2 linked regions of the Notamacropus eugenii genome follow. The protein of the gene in region 2 interacts with the protein of the main gene of each other region in a pairwise test. Links are inferred from orthologs where the notes say so. Each region holds a gene or a part of one and is shown on either strand. Other genes may lie near its edges.

Region 1 (7,636 bases), on a different chromosome or scaffold from region 2:
TTGGTGAAGGGACCCGAGTCCACATCTCATGAAGACTGGAAGAAGAAACTAGAAATGACTCGGTTTGAAGAAAAAAAGACTCCGGGGACATGAAAGCTGCCTTCAAGTATCTGAAGGCTGTTATATGGAAGAGGTATCAAACTCCATGCCAATGCAAACTGCAAAACCACCAATTTAGGCTGGGTATTAGGAAAATCTTCAAGGTTAGCTGGCCCCAAAATGGAAAGGGCTGCCTCGAGGGGCAGTAGGTTTCCATGGAAGCTCTCTAGGCAGAGGCTGAACAAGCACCTGTCCATGAAATAATGAGGATGCCCTTCAGGTATGGGCTGGACGAGACAGCTTTGGCAGTGGTGGCTTCCAAATCTCCAATTCTATACTCTGTGATCTCTGTACAGCTTTGGGAGTCACTTGAAGTGATCAAGGAACCAGTGAGAGCAGCTGAAATAGCTAGAGTACTTATTCTTATGTGCCAGGCAATGGGCTAAGTGCTAGGCTCCAAGTGAAAGCATACTAGCTAGTCACTCTCCTCAACAATTTCACATTCTAATGGGGGGAAACACTTCAAGATATGCTGGATCACTAAGGGAGGGAATCAGAGGCTCAGGAGACAGCCTTTGGGGATGCACAAGCTTTGGTGTGGAGACAGAGAACAACACTGGCAGAAAGATTCTCTTCCCTCAAGGGACACAAAGAAGGCCCATCTAGAGAACCAGGAGGAAGCATCTGCAGCATCAAAATCTGCAGGTAGATGAAGACTGAGACGAGACACTGGATTAAGCAATTAAGAGATCACTGAACTTCTGACAAAGCTACAATCAGTGGCTGGCTGGTTCAGTTGCCAGAGGGCATCTGAGTGAAAATGGAGTGAGAGCTGAAAACGTAATGGAAGGCTCCTCTTTCCAAAGTCCAAAAGGGCAAGGCAGCTGACAGAGAGGATGTCCGGCAGGGCTTATAACTTTTTTTAAATGGTGATTTTTTAACTTTATTAAGCACCGGAGTGCAAAGCTCTCCTTTGGGTGGTCCAGAAATACTTCCCGATCTACTAAGATACTCATTTCTGGCAAGTCATTTACCATTTTGTCTTTAGTAAAGCTTTAGTCACTCATCATGAAGTAAAACAAATGGGTCAGAACCAGTTTGTCGATGTTGCAGACACCGTGGCATCTTGTGGTTAATTCTCCCTGACTCTAGGATTTTCAGTTCACAAAACAAAAATCTGTGAGTTAGTATCCTAATGGAGAAAGGTGAAGATCTGTCCACACTTTGTATTGGAAGTTTGAAGTTCAATGTCTGTAGAGCTCTGTAAGGAGGGAGAGTCCTCGGTGCAGTCATACTGCCAGAGGCATCCAGGCAAGGTACAAAAAAATAAAAACAATCTGGAGGCTTTTCTGTAAATGCAAGAGGTAACTCTGCTTGGGTCACTCCTGGAAGAAAGGGGTCAGAGCCCCTGAGGAGGGCCCTGGGCCGAGGCCAAGGGCCCCTCAGCACCTGCAGGCTGGGGCTAGTCGGGGAAGTGAAAGAATTGAGGTTAAATGTCAACTCCCAGGCTTTTCCTGCACCTGCCCTAGGCACCCCGAATCCTGTCCCCTTTCTCGATTAGACACACAGACAGACACACACAGCGGGGGGTGGGGGGAGCTTGGGACTCATGCCTGTGCACAGGCCTCAGAAGAACCTCAGTGAACGTGCTGATCAATACCTACACACCTCAGAACGCCCCCCAAAGCCAGGGGTAGTACCAGGCAGACATCTCACTGATCAGGGGTATCTGCTCTAAGCGTTTTGGTTTCATTTTAAGGCTGAGACAAGAACCGGGTCCCGGATAACGCTGCCAAGTTGTTTACAAACAGCTCCATGCCCAGACGGCTGGAGGGGCACCAAGCAGTCCGCGGTTCTTCGGGGCGGGGGTAAAGGGGATCTGGGGGTGACTGTCCGCGGCCCCGGGCCTCCTGGGCAGGTGGGGCGCAGCGGGCACGGGAGGGTGGCATGTCCTCTGGCACCCGGCAGGCCCGCACACACCGGCTTACACGGCCAGCGGTGCCCAAGTAACCGTACACCGTCCGGGGCAAAGGCCCCGAGGTGGGCAGCCGCAGCGGTGACTCTGAATCTTGTCCCACTCTCGGCAGGGATCGGGCGCGTTTATCAAACCGAGGGCCCAAGGCGGGGTGGGGGGGGGGGCACTGCCCGGGGGCAGACGCACAAGAGGGGGCCAGGGGACGTGCGCCCAGCCCGACCTCCGCGCACGGCCTCCCCGCGTCTCCCGGGTGTCCCGGGCACCCATCATTAAGGCAGAGGCGGCGCCTCCCCGGCCCCGGGCCGAGGACCCCTCCCCCTCTCCCTCCCCCCCTCCCCCTCTCCCCGGCCCCGGGCCGAGGACCCCCCCCCCCCCTCCCCGGCCCCGGGCCGAGGACCCCTCCCCTTCCCCCTCCCCCCTCCCCCTCCCCAGCCCCGGGCCGAGGACCCCCCCCTCTCCCTCCCCCCCCCCCCCTCCCCGGCCCCGGGCCGAGGACCCCTCCCCCTCTCCCTCCCCCCCTCCCCCTCTCCCTCCCCCCCCTCCCCCTCTCCCCGGCCCCGGGCCGAGGACCCCTCCCCTTCCCCTCCCCCCTCCCCCTCCCCGGCCCCGGGCCGAGGACCCCCCCCCTCTCCCTCCCCCCCTCCCCGGCCCCGGGCCGAGGACCCCCTCCCCCCTCCCGGGCCCCCGGGGGCGCGCGCCGCCGCACCAAGGACCCCTCCCCCTCTCCCCCTCCCCGGTCCCGGCCCGGCTCCGCCGCACCGCGGACCCCTGCCCCTCCCCCTCCCGGGCCCCCGGGGGCGCGCGCCGCTGTCACCCCGCCCCCCCGCCCGGCTGGCCCCCCGCAGCCCGGCCCGGCGACCACGTGCGGCCGTGACCCCGCGGCGGGGGCGGGGCGGGGGTCCTACCGCAGGATGTTGTCGGCGTAGGTGAGCAGCAGGCGGGAGGCCTCCAGGAAGGTTTCTCGGGGGTTCTGGCACAGCTCGGACACGGCCCTGGAGAGGGCGGGCGCGGCGGGGCCGAGCGCGGCGGCGGCGGCGGCCATCCCGCTCCGGCTGCGGCTCGGCTCGGCTCGGCCCGGCCTCCTCCCCCTCCCCCCTCCCCGGCCCCCGCCCCCTGCACTGAGCAGGCGCCCGCCCCGCCCGCCAGGCCGCGGCCACGCGCGCCGGGCACCCCGCGGGGGAGGGCGCGTCCTTGACCCGCCCCGGGCCGGGGCTGGGGGGACCCCGAGGACCCCTGGGGCCGCGTCCTCGGACGGTGCTCCCGGGGGGCCGCAGGCGGGCCTGACCCGGACTGGAGAGCTCGGACCTCTGCAGCGCCCCGCACCTAACAGCCCGTCCTCCCCCTCGGGAGCCCGGACCCCCTCAGTGCCCCCTCGCCCGTCCCCGGGCAGCGATGCCAGCCCAGCATTTAGCATGGGCATCGTTCCCCGGCTCGCCAAAGCTGGGCTGGGATCCCCGAGAGGAGCGGGGCTCAGAAGCCCCGGTGGCTCCGAAGCAAACTCGAACTGTGGCGTTTAACATGTTTCCCAACGGAGACTCCAGCCTTCCTGGTACCCCATTAATGCCCCGCTCCGCCCCCCCAGCCCCGGTTCGGCCGCACTGGGCCCCTCCGGCCGCGCTGGGCCCCTCGGCCGCGCTGGGCCCCTCCGGCCGCGCTGGGCCCCTCCGGCCGCGCTGGGCCCCTCCGCCGCGCTGGGCCCCTCCGCCGCGCTGGGCCCCTCCGGCCCCGGGTGACCTTGCTGGACCTTTCTGCCTTCACGCAGGCTGGCCCGGTCTGCGATGCCCTCCCTCCTCTCTGCCCCGGGGCATCCCCCGTTCGAGTCGGCTCAGCTCCAGCACCAGCTCCCACAGAAGGCCTTCCTGAACCCCCAGGCCGCCGGCGCCCCCCACCCCAGGCCCTGCTGTGTGTGTCGTCTCCCTGAGAGCATTCCCTTTGGGCTCCATCTCATTTCACGGCTGGGTTTAAGCCTCTGATGAGGTTAATGGCTAGACCTGTAGTTTACTGTCTGTTTCTTCTCCCTTCCGCCTTGAAGCCCTGACCTGGTAAGGCAGTCATTGCTAAGCCTCTAGTCCCGGTCTTAAAACCCGGGTCAGAAAATGACAGACATGACCCTCTGATGACTGGTGAAAAATCCTTGGTTCTGGCATAAGAGTGAATGACCCTGTCACTGATTAAATATGAAACCTTCTGATCTTCAGTCTCCTCTGTCGAAGGAAGGGTTTGAACTGGACAGTTTCTGAGGTTCTCTCCAGATCCACATCTAGGAACAGTCTACGTAACCATGCAGAACGTACATATGGTGTGTCTAAATATAGAGAGAGAGTACACATACACACACCCCTTATACTTTTCCTGATTTGATTCAATTCCATGGTAAGGAATTCAGAAAGTCCTTTCTCCAACCTATCCTAGGATGGTTTGCTCCTCCTAAACCTATTTTTGACCTTCATTGTACCCATCATTTCTCCCCGCTCTGCCCTCACTTTCCTTTTCCTCCCTTGCAAACATCAATTCTAGAATTTACCACTTTGCCTTACTCCGTCTCTACAATCAAATCCTTAGTCTCCTTATCACTACCATGTTCCCAGTCCAGGAATTAGCACGACCACCTTTGTTGGATCACCACTCAGGCCCTGCTCTCTCAAACTCTGTCCTGGGTCCTCGATGCCCTCTAACTTTTCATCGCTTGCACGGGTTCACCTGTCATCTCAATGCAGGTAACTTCTGCGTCTACAATGGCCATCATCTCTTCCCTGAGCTCCAGTCCTCTATCTATAATTGATCCCTGAACAAGCTGTACTGGGTGTCCTGTACATGACCCATTTTCCTCTATTGTCCTGGAGCTGACCCCTCTTCCTAATCATCCTATTTGTATCGAGAACACCACCATCTTTCCAGTCCCCCAGGTTCACACCCTCAGTCATGTTCCATTTCTGATAGGCAGCTAGCGGCCAAGTCTTACAACATCTCCAACTTCTGGCATCTTCTCTGCACTTACTCAACTGTTGCCCTAGTTTCAGCCCTTTTCACCTTTCATCTTGATCATTGCAATAGCTTCCTCATCTAGTCTCTCTCCTCTCCAGCCCTTCCTTCTCAGAACTGACAAAGTGACATTCCTAAAGCTGTTGCACCATGTCAGAAAAAAAAGGGAAAAGCTCCAGTGGCTCCCTATTGCTGATAAGAAAAAATACCAGCACCTCTATAATTCAAAGTCCTTCAGAGTCTCCATCTACACCACTTGACATCCAGGTGAATTGGGGATAGGGCACTAGACTTGGAGTCGTGAAGACCTGAGTTTGAATCCTCCTTCAGACATTGGAGCATGTCACTTAACTTTTCTGTACTTCATCTGTAAAATGATGTTGATGACCTCTAAAAGCAGATAGCCTCCAAAATCCTTTCTAGCTCTAAATCTGTGATTTCACAGTATCCTTCCAGGCCCACAGCTCTCCTTTTCACACACTCTACAGTCCTACCCAACAGGTTTATTTGCTGTTTCCTAAACATCACATTCCATTTTCAGTCTCCACACCTTTGTGCAGGCTGCTTCCTCCCCTACTGGGCTATATTCCTTCCTCACTCCTACTTCTTAGAATCCATAATTACTTTCAAAGCTGAGCTAGAGAGGGCTTCCTCCATGAAGACTTTTCTGACCCCTGTGCTTTCCCCAATGACTATGTACATATTTTATATTTATTTTGTGTCCATGTGATTTCCCCTGAAAGATTGTAAGCTTCTGGAGGGCAGGGACTACTTCCTTTTGATCTTCTTTTCCTCAGCTCTTTGCAGAATGCCTGGCACACAGTAGCCACTTGTTGATTAAATGATTTCCACAGCAAATCCCTAGTCTTACATATAGTTGCCTACTTCTTATGTCATTGTAATATTTTCTTGGGCTTAACAAATTGATTAACAAATTGATTTATTATTTCTGATTACATTCAGGAAACTTCTCAGTGTGTGCTCTTCAGGTGTTGTCCTTGAACCTTTTTTATATCCTATCCCTGTACCTCTTTTTTTGGGTGATTATATGGTCCAAGAACCACAGATAATGGTTAAGCTGGTGTTGGAATCTGGAAGCTGGGTTCAAATCTTGCCTCTGCCATATGCTAGTGGTGTGAATAAGGCTAAATCAATTAACCTCTTAGTGCCCCAGGCAATTCCAAAACTATGGGTTACATTTGCTGAGTTTCATAGGTGGAGTTTCCCTAATGGGAGTTCTTCCATGCTCACATTTCTGAATCCTTCCCCACCAACCAAACCCCAAACAAAACACAAAACCACACAAAACTTAGTGATCGCTACCTTTCTTTCTACTTCATATTCTTTTTCCTTCTTTCAACATCTCCTCATAATCTGTCAGGAATATCATTCAGCTTGAGTATAGGCCTAACATGATAAATATTCTGTTTTTGTGTTGCTCTGCCCCACTCTCCCACCTCTTTACTTCCCTATTGACATTGTTACATGTGTATAATTCTAAGCATCTCTCTAGTCAGAGACTGGAACCTACTAAATTTTTACTCTTACCTCTCTATGAAATGGAAAAGAATGTAAACTTGCAAAGACTCTGCCAACACTACTGAGCCAGAAAGATTTTAAATATGAGTAGACAACAGACTCCCAGCCTAGCTTTATTTGGAGATGTTCATCACCAGAAGGTTGGCCATCAAGCAATGAATTATTAGTCCACAGTAACTCCTATTAGCCATCTCTCAAGGTCAGAAAGGGTTTTGATCTCTTTCTATTGATAATGTTTAATATAAAATTTTAGAATAATCTCTTTGTTCTCTCTGAAGCAAACTCAGAGAGTGCCTCTTCCTATGTCAGCAAAAGCCAGCCAAGGCCGACTCTACACTCCTTAAGAAGACCTTTAACCTAAGACACTATATCTTGAATAATGAGGCTTTCCTTTGTATCTTATTATCTATAGACATATACTATGTTATGGCATATTAATGGTAAAGAAAAATAGACATCTTAGGTCGTAATTTCTATTGAACTTTGTTTAGCCTTTTCCTATGTCAGTTATCTGTTTAGGGCAGGAAGCCTGCCACTCACTAGTGGTGGGATTTCCTTTCTCGTCACTGAGACATATGTTTACCCAGCTGGAATTGCAAGGCCTGACCAACATTACTTTGTTAATTGTCTTGTCTTACTAAATTTATGATTTGTTCAACTAGGAAAGTTCCTTTCTCACAGCATAATGTATATAAGCCAGAAGATTTCTGCACTGGGTAGCCAGAACATTTCTGGCTCCATAATGCATTATGTTACCGTTACCTTTAATAGGGAATTGATTGATTAATTAATTAAATCATAAAATGTATGCAATTAGCCTGTTGCCTTTTCTTTAACCAAGTTTTCAGGTCAACACTATGGAGGGAGTACCCATAATGATGAACTTTTGGCTTTCTTGCATATGTATTATGCTTATCTGTAAACGCATCTTTCCTCTTATATCATCAACTCTTTAGCACAGAAACCTTTATTTTTGTATCCACAGTATCTTCCCCTGATAATGAGTGCCTTGTTACTGTTAATAAATTTGTTGTTGAACTGACTTTTCCTCAGATGAATGAACTCCAGTATTTAAAGCTGAAACATCATCTACTCACCCCC
Region 2 (7,307 bases):
TACGGTACCATGGGCCTATATATGGCTAACCAGTATGGCTCAGACACTGCCAAAATCTACCTCATTGTGACCAAGTGGTGGTTCAAGGTATGCATTCCTTTGAAATCCCTCCAGTATTTTGGCAACAGAGATGCCTATGCATACACTGAGCATGCTGCCCCATTGCTGTCAGCGTTAGGGAATTTGGGGGTGGGGGAGCATAGACAACACTAGAGAAGCTGTTGGACTGAAGTCATTCTCCCCAATCTCCCAGTGCCTTCTCCTCTTGTGTACACTTCTCTCTTGTTGCTGCTGCTGTTGCTGCTGCTGCTTTTGCTGTGGGATGAATGTACCACAAGAATATGACGATTTTAAGTGTAGAAGGGATCTACAAACACAACATGCAGGCACAGATGTGCAGAAACAACCTTCAAGGACAGGTGAGGCCAAAGGAAAGTGGCCAAGGTGAGATCTGGGCCAAGAGTAAAGGTAGGAAGGTCTGAAATGAGAGGGATCTCTGAACCTGGGGTCCCCTAAAGCTAGGAGAATGAGATCTGGGATGGGATCAGATTGAAAGGTAATCAGGGTATAGAATCTGATGCTTTTTCAAGGTGCATATAATTTGAGTGAATGAAAAAGCATTTATTAAGTGCTTACTCCAAGCACTGGAGCGACAATGCAAATAATGAGATAGTCTCTGCCTTCAAGAAACTTCTAATAGATAACACATTCAAAGAAGTGGTGTCCTGGTAAGGCAGCTTTGGTTCGAGGAGTCAAGGGGACATTGAGTTGATCTATAGAACACTTGATTGACACACCCTTTCCAAAAGCAGGGTGGTATTGTTGATTTGATTACTAAGCGTTAGATATGGAAAAGTGAGGGAGGAAAGGAATGCCAGTAACTCATATGGTGAGATGATCTGGATAAATAGCTGAATAAGATGAGGCACAGTATGGTCTAGGGCTTCCTGGATATATTCTTTATTGATAGTTTGAGTATGATACTTATCCTGTCTAGGGTCTTTGCTGAGTTGGGAGGTGAGCCTAAAAGAAGTCATAGATGAAGGTGGGTTAGGAGATATACTTTTTGATATTTGCTCAAAAGATAACCAGCTTTTAATTTTTTAAATTAAATGTTTGTCAACTGATTTGATTGATCAGTTTAATCTAAAAGTGATCTTAAATTTCTGCCTCATCGCCATCTCAGGATCTCAGGAATAACTTCAGTGTAATGGTATTAAGTATTAGATTAAGACCGGAATTGTAGCTCATTTAAAGAAATGTTTGTATTCCAAATTCCATAGATGGAACTGAATATGCTTTCTCCAATCTGAACCAAAAAATGGATGAAGATGAAGAGGCACAAAATGCAGAAACTGACAAACAATAGTGTTCAAGGAGAAGAGAAGAAAAGGGGCTAAGGCAAAAAATTAGTGAAAAAAGTATATAACTTTATTGTATCTTGATTACAAGTTAAGTAATAAAGGGTTTTTTTCTGTATACTTACTTTAAGGGTTTCATCTTAATATGGTACTTGCTTCTTCTGTTTCCAGATGCTGACCCTGTGAATGTGTCTTCTGCTGCACAGTCTACTGTACACACTGAAGAAGGGGACCTCTAACCCCAGTCCTGATCTTAACCCTGCTCCTGTAAGCACCATGAATGCTATAAGCACTGCTAAACTCTGGCCCTCTCCCTATGAGAACTCTTTCCCTGACCTTCACAGTATCACCAGATCTGGCTAGAATACTATAAATCCCAACACTGTAAGCACCATCCCTATGTAACTTTCCTAACCTGGCCCCAAATCTGAATACAGCTGGAAACAATACCATGTATTTCATGCCATCTCAACCTTGCGAAATCTTGGGCTGACAGAGCTGCCTTCTCCCCAAAAGAATTGTGTCTTGTTCCCATGTAACTTAATGGTAACCACTGGGGTCTGTGTCTCTAAACTGTCTGGGATAATGTCTCCCTCAGAGACAGCTGGTGGTACCTCTGAAAGAGCACTGGGTTAGAGTCATGAAGACCCGAATTCAAATTTGACCTCAGATATTTACTAGCTATGTAACCCTGGGCAAATTATGTAACCTCTGTTTACCTTAGTTCCTCAACTGTAAAACGGGGGAAATAATAGTACCTACTTCACAGGGTGGTCGTGATTATACATACATACATATATGTATATGTATGTATATACACATATATACATATATATGTGCGCATGTATGTGTATATATACATATACATCCACTCAGCACAGTGCCTAGAACATAGTAGGCACTATATAAATGTTTATTCTCCTTCTCCACCCCACACCCTTCAGGGCAGGAGCCACCTTGCAGGGTAGATTCTGTACTTGGACTTTATGCATGAACTGATGCTTCCCTCCATTCCCTTGGATCTGGAATCCCATGGCTGGGCTGAGTCCTAAGCTGACCTTCCTGGGGTGGGCCCCATCTCCCCTTGCCTCCTAGTACCCTTTGTATCTGAACCACTTTATTCCACTGTGACTCAGCTCTCAAGAATGAGAAGGAAGGAAGGAGAAAAGGTTACGATGCTTTGCCAAATACTCTAGTTTCTTTCTACCAGCATTCACCCAGCCTTACCCACATGGTGTTCTTGGGACATAGTCTGTCTTCTTCCCTAAGGTTCTTATTCCCAAGACAGAGGTGTTAATTGCATCCTGGAGGAAAAAGTACTTCTCACAAAACTTTCCCTTTATTATGTCTTCTGTGCCAAAGTATTGGACCCATTTCAGTTGCTTTCCACAAACATTCCACCAAGGGCCAGCCCATATAGCCTCCCCTTAACTTAAAGTGAAAGAATCAAGCACTGTTTTGGAGCAGGAAGCACTGGGATTGAATATACATCAATGAATAAAGAAACTTTGTGCAGTGGATTGGGGACAGAGAAGACAGCCTAGAAACAGTTTGTAGAGATGAGTACCAGGGTTCTGCTACCAGGGTTGACAACTTTAATGACTAATTTGGTGGTATTTGGCAGTTTTATAGAGCTTCGAGGTTATGCCTTTTCTTAGTGGGTTAAAGTTGTTTTCCTTAAGACCTTTGACCCCTATGCCCAAAATGGGTTACAAGTACCTAAATCTTCTTTATACTCACCTCAGTTCTTAACTTTCCCCCCAGATATGGAAGCTTTACTATAACTGACAATCTGTTCATGGGACTATATTTTCTCCACTGCCTATTTCTATTTATTTTCCTTGACTATATGTTCCCCCATAGTGCCAATGCTGAGCCCATCACATGAATAGAAGAGGGCAATTTTTTTCCACATTGAGAGAAATCCTTTCAAATACTAGGCATAAGAGAAGAAGAGCCTGGTCCATGAATCTATCCGGTCTTAAAAATGCACTCCAGGAAATAAATTTCAGGCCTTGATTGGGACTTCATCAGTGTAGGCAATAATGTCTGATTGATGCCTCACTGGTCAAATGGAGGCAAAGTTGGATTCTTTATGACTATGCCAGCAGAACCCAAGCTCTGCTAGGTCCTATCAAAGTTAGAAAGCTTTGAGTATAGGCTGGTGACATAAATTCTCTATATGTCTGAGGACTAACCTAGCTAAGGCCCAAGAGATTCATCATGAGCTTGGTCACAACAAGGTGATTCAGTTTTTTGGTCACAGTAATTCTGGAGGAGTTGTGATCTGTAACTGTAGAATGACTTCCACATTGATGAAATAACTTGTCCTTGAATCTAGGTACCACCAGTTCATTGGATATCAAATTCCAGAATGACTTAGGCAGAGTCCTGGGGGAAAACAGGGGAGGGACTATCTTTTGCCATGAATCTGATAAGATGTGGATAGAGAAAGGAGGTCGAGGGTTACTGTGGCGGGTCCAAGATATATCTAATTCCCATTGTCCTTGTCAAAACTCTCCAGTTCTTGGGCCTTCCCAGCTGCTGAGCCATGGCTGGATGCCTTCACTGGGATTATTTGTAGGGTCATAGTCTTTGTGTCCAGGATAAGGCCCAAACTGGAGTATGACTGAGTAAAAACCAATGGGAGCCCTTTTAGAATTGGTATGTGAGAGACTGAAGTATTCCAAACTCTTTTTCTGGCTCAGGTTTGCCCCCTATTCCCACAAAGGCTCTAGCCCCTCCTCCAGCCCCTAGTCTATGTGACTCAGGGTCACTTGTTTGGTGACAGCTGTGGCTCCCCTTACACAAGCTAAATTGGGAATAGGAATGTGAGAGATTGTGTCATTGAATGCCCCTAGTCTCCCCTATCCCCAAGTTAAAATTAGTCTCCTGCTTTAGGATTAAGGAACAAACAGCAGTGCCTAAATTGTGAGCAATAGTCGGCCATTTGGGGAGCAGGAGATAAGACTATCCCAGGAGTGAGGGGGGAGCCATCTGAAGTGTAAGGGCAAGACAAAATTTTCTTAATCTGCCTGGTCACTCAGAGTAGAAAAGTAAAGATTAAAAAACAGCTCTCCAGAGAGAGAAAATCAATTGGCTGCCTAGGGGCCACGAGGTGGATTGATTAAGGGACAGAACAAGGAGACAGAAACAACTTTTAAGAAAAATCTAGACAGGCTGTAGCAAAAAAAGGGGGGCAACAGCTGAAGACAGACTCACATAGCTGAGAGAATAAGCCAGGTTTGGAAAAAAGACCAAAGAGGGGTGGGCACGACCACCGAGGGGATGAACTTCGCAGTGGGTTTCAAGCCGCTGCTGGGGGATGCACACAGCATGGATAACCTGGAGAAGCAACTGATCTGCCCGATATGCCTGGAGATGTTCTCCAAGCCAGTGGTGATCCTGCCCTGCCAACACAACCTATGCCGCAAGTGTGCCAATGACGTCTTCCAGGTGGGCTCAGAGTCTGGGGTTGGGGGTGGTGGGGAAAGAAGAGGGGACCCGTTGATTATGCTATCAAAGTTGGGGTTTGAAAATTGGATCCACAAGTGCCACTTACCGTGGTACACTGCTTTAGATGGATAGAAGCTTTAGGAAAGAGGTAAGATGCATGAGGGTGGCCAGCTTGTGGCTGAACAGAAAAGGACCTAAGGTGTCTAAGCAGATCACAAACCATAAGAATGTTGACAACACAGGTTTTACTTGTTTTGTATGGTGCTTAGTAGAGTGCCATGCACAAACAATCAAAATACCAGACAAGATAAATACCAGATTTGTGGGTTAGGTGTTAAGTATGGTTAAGTAGATTTAAAATTGGTTGAATGACCAGTCCCTCAAAGTAGTCCTTTAATAAAAACATATTGTGAAGCCAAACAGATTTCCATATTGACTCTGTCCAAAAAAAAAAAGTCTAAATCTGCACTCTGAATAAGTGCATGTTTCATTTAAGAATCTTCTAGAATCATGATTGATCATTGTATTTATCAGGGCTCCTAAGTCTTTCAAAGTTGTTTGTCTTTACAGTCTTTTTGTTATTGAACCAGTTGTTCTGGTTCTGCTCGCTTCACTTTGCATCTACATACAGTTTATACAATTTTCCCCAGGGTTTTCTGAAATCATCCTCTTCATCATTTCTTATAGCACCAACTTCATCACATTCATACATCATAACTTGTTTAGTCATTTCTCAATTGGTGGACACTCCCTCACTTTTCAATCCTTTGCCACTGCAAAATGATCTGCTATCAATATTTCTGTACATCCTTAGCTAATGTTTGTTCTACTTAAGATTACTCTCTCTATTAATTTACCCTCCCTTTTATTCTCCCCCTCCCAATCTTTCCTTTCCTTCTTGTTTCCCTGTTGAGTGAAATACATTTCTGTACTCAACTGTGTGTATGCATTTTCTGTCCTTTGATCAATTCAGAAAAAAGGGTCAAGTATCACCAGCTTCTTCCACCCCTTCCTCCTTGTTTGTATAGATGTCTACTTGGGTACCCTGATGATGTGAGATTTTCCCCATCCTTTCTCTCCTTTCCGTTCCTTTTATTAACCACCCCCTTTTTGTTCTTTTAAGATAAGCCATAACAGAACTACTCCCAAGCGCTCTGTCTAATTAGATGCCATCTCAGACCACTGATAATGATAGGGAACTGAAGATACGTTTACATCATTTTCTCATATTATAATGTAAACAGGTTATCCTTATCCCTTATGATTGCTTGTTCATGTTTACCTTTTTGTATTTCTCTTGACTCATGTATTTATTTGTACTTCAAATTTCTATACAGCTCTTGTCTTTTCATCAGGAATGCTTGGAAGTCTTCTCTCATTAAATGTCCCTTTCCCCCCACCCCCCTGCAGGATTATACTAAGTTTCATTGAGTAAATTATTCTTGGTACGTCTACTTGGCAAGTGGATCATATCCTCTTTTTTTCTGGAATACTTTGTTTCCAAGCTCTCTGCTTCTTCATAATGGTGGTTGCTACATCTTTTTATGTCTCCTCATTCTTCCAGCCTGCTTCCTGACTTTAGACTTTATGTTAGGGTTAGATCCTGCACTCTTCTGGAGAAAAATGCTTGAGCTGACCTTGAATCCTCTAGATTCTTACTATTGCATTCTTGAAGGTATTGAGTTTTGTGTTATTTCAGGATCTCAAAGTAGATCTTCCAGCTCAGTAGAAGCTAGGGATCTGCAAGCTTTTTGTGGTCCCAAAATCATTTGCTCTAAGGCAAATCTGTTCTCTTCCTTCCTAGTCTGAGCTCTGCAATTTCCTGACCTAGATTTGGATCTGAGCAACTCACTTGTGAGCTTGCCCCAGTTTTAATTTCAGTATTCTACTGTTGAATTCAATTACTATTAGCCAACTGGAAAATTCTTCTGGTACAGAGGGACAGAACTGCAAACTCCTTTGGTGATTCCTCTGCAGGCTTCAGATGGGACTGGAGACTGGAACAGAGATCCTTCTCTTCTCCTGAGGTCAGAGCCACAGAGCTGCTACTTGCTCAGTATATAGTCTCAAGTCCACAACCACTCCTCACCCTGGAATACTACTCCTAGTGCAGGTCCCCTCTACAGTCAACCTTAGATCTGTGACCTGAAACTATGTAGTGAGCAAAAAAGTTGCCATTTGACAGCTATTCTTGTACCCTATACACTTGGAGGTCCATTTACTGGATTTAGAATTTCTTCTTGCTCTGGTGTACAGTCTCTCTTTGCACTGGAATGCTTTATCCAGGATAGGCCCCCACAAGCAGTATCTCTAGATCTTTTTGTCTGCCTCCCTGCATTGATAACCTGGGCTGAAAAAAACTTTTTTTTTAATTTAAAGATCAAGATTCAGATCTATTTTCAGGTACAGTGAGAGAGAGTGAACTTGTCTATACTTCTTCCTACTATTCTGTCATCTTAGCTCCACCCTAAGTAACTTACATTGCTTTTT

What was found.
Region 1: the proteins of TRIM54 (region 2) and NGLY1 interact in binary tests that used the Homo sapiens proteins (3 or more experiments, as listed by UniProt). The two-hybrid records come from large-scale screens. The link is inferred for Notamacropus eugenii from reciprocal best matches to the Homo sapiens genes TRIM54 and NGLY1.

The regions. Positions count from the first base shown.
Region 1 is NC_092874.1:28,791,348-28,798,983, reverse strand, and holds the start of NGLY1 (peptide-N(4)-(N-acetyl-beta-glucosaminyl)asparagine amidase), read right to left. Parts: upstream 3,092-7,636; 5' UTR 3,057-3,091; coding exon 2,920-3,056; intron 2,141-2,919; exon of another isoform or gene 1,074-2,140; intron 1-1,073. UniProt on the Homo sapiens protein: Specifically deglycosylates the denatured form of N-linked glycoproteins in the cytoplasm and assists their proteasome-mediated degradation. Cleaves the beta-aspartyl-glucosamine (GlcNAc) of the glycan and the amide side chain of Asn, converting Asn to Asp.
Region 2 is NC_092872.1:528,548,023-528,555,329, forward strand, and holds the start of TRIM54 (tripartite motif-containing protein 54), read left to right. Parts: upstream 1-4,250; 5' UTR 4,251-4,649; coding exon 4,650-4,817; intron 4,818-7,307. Other genes in the region: DNAJC5G (dnaJ homolog subfamily C member 5G), read left to right, coding at 1-87, 254-419, 1,284-1,369. UniProt on the Homo sapiens protein: May bind and stabilize microtubules during myotubes formation.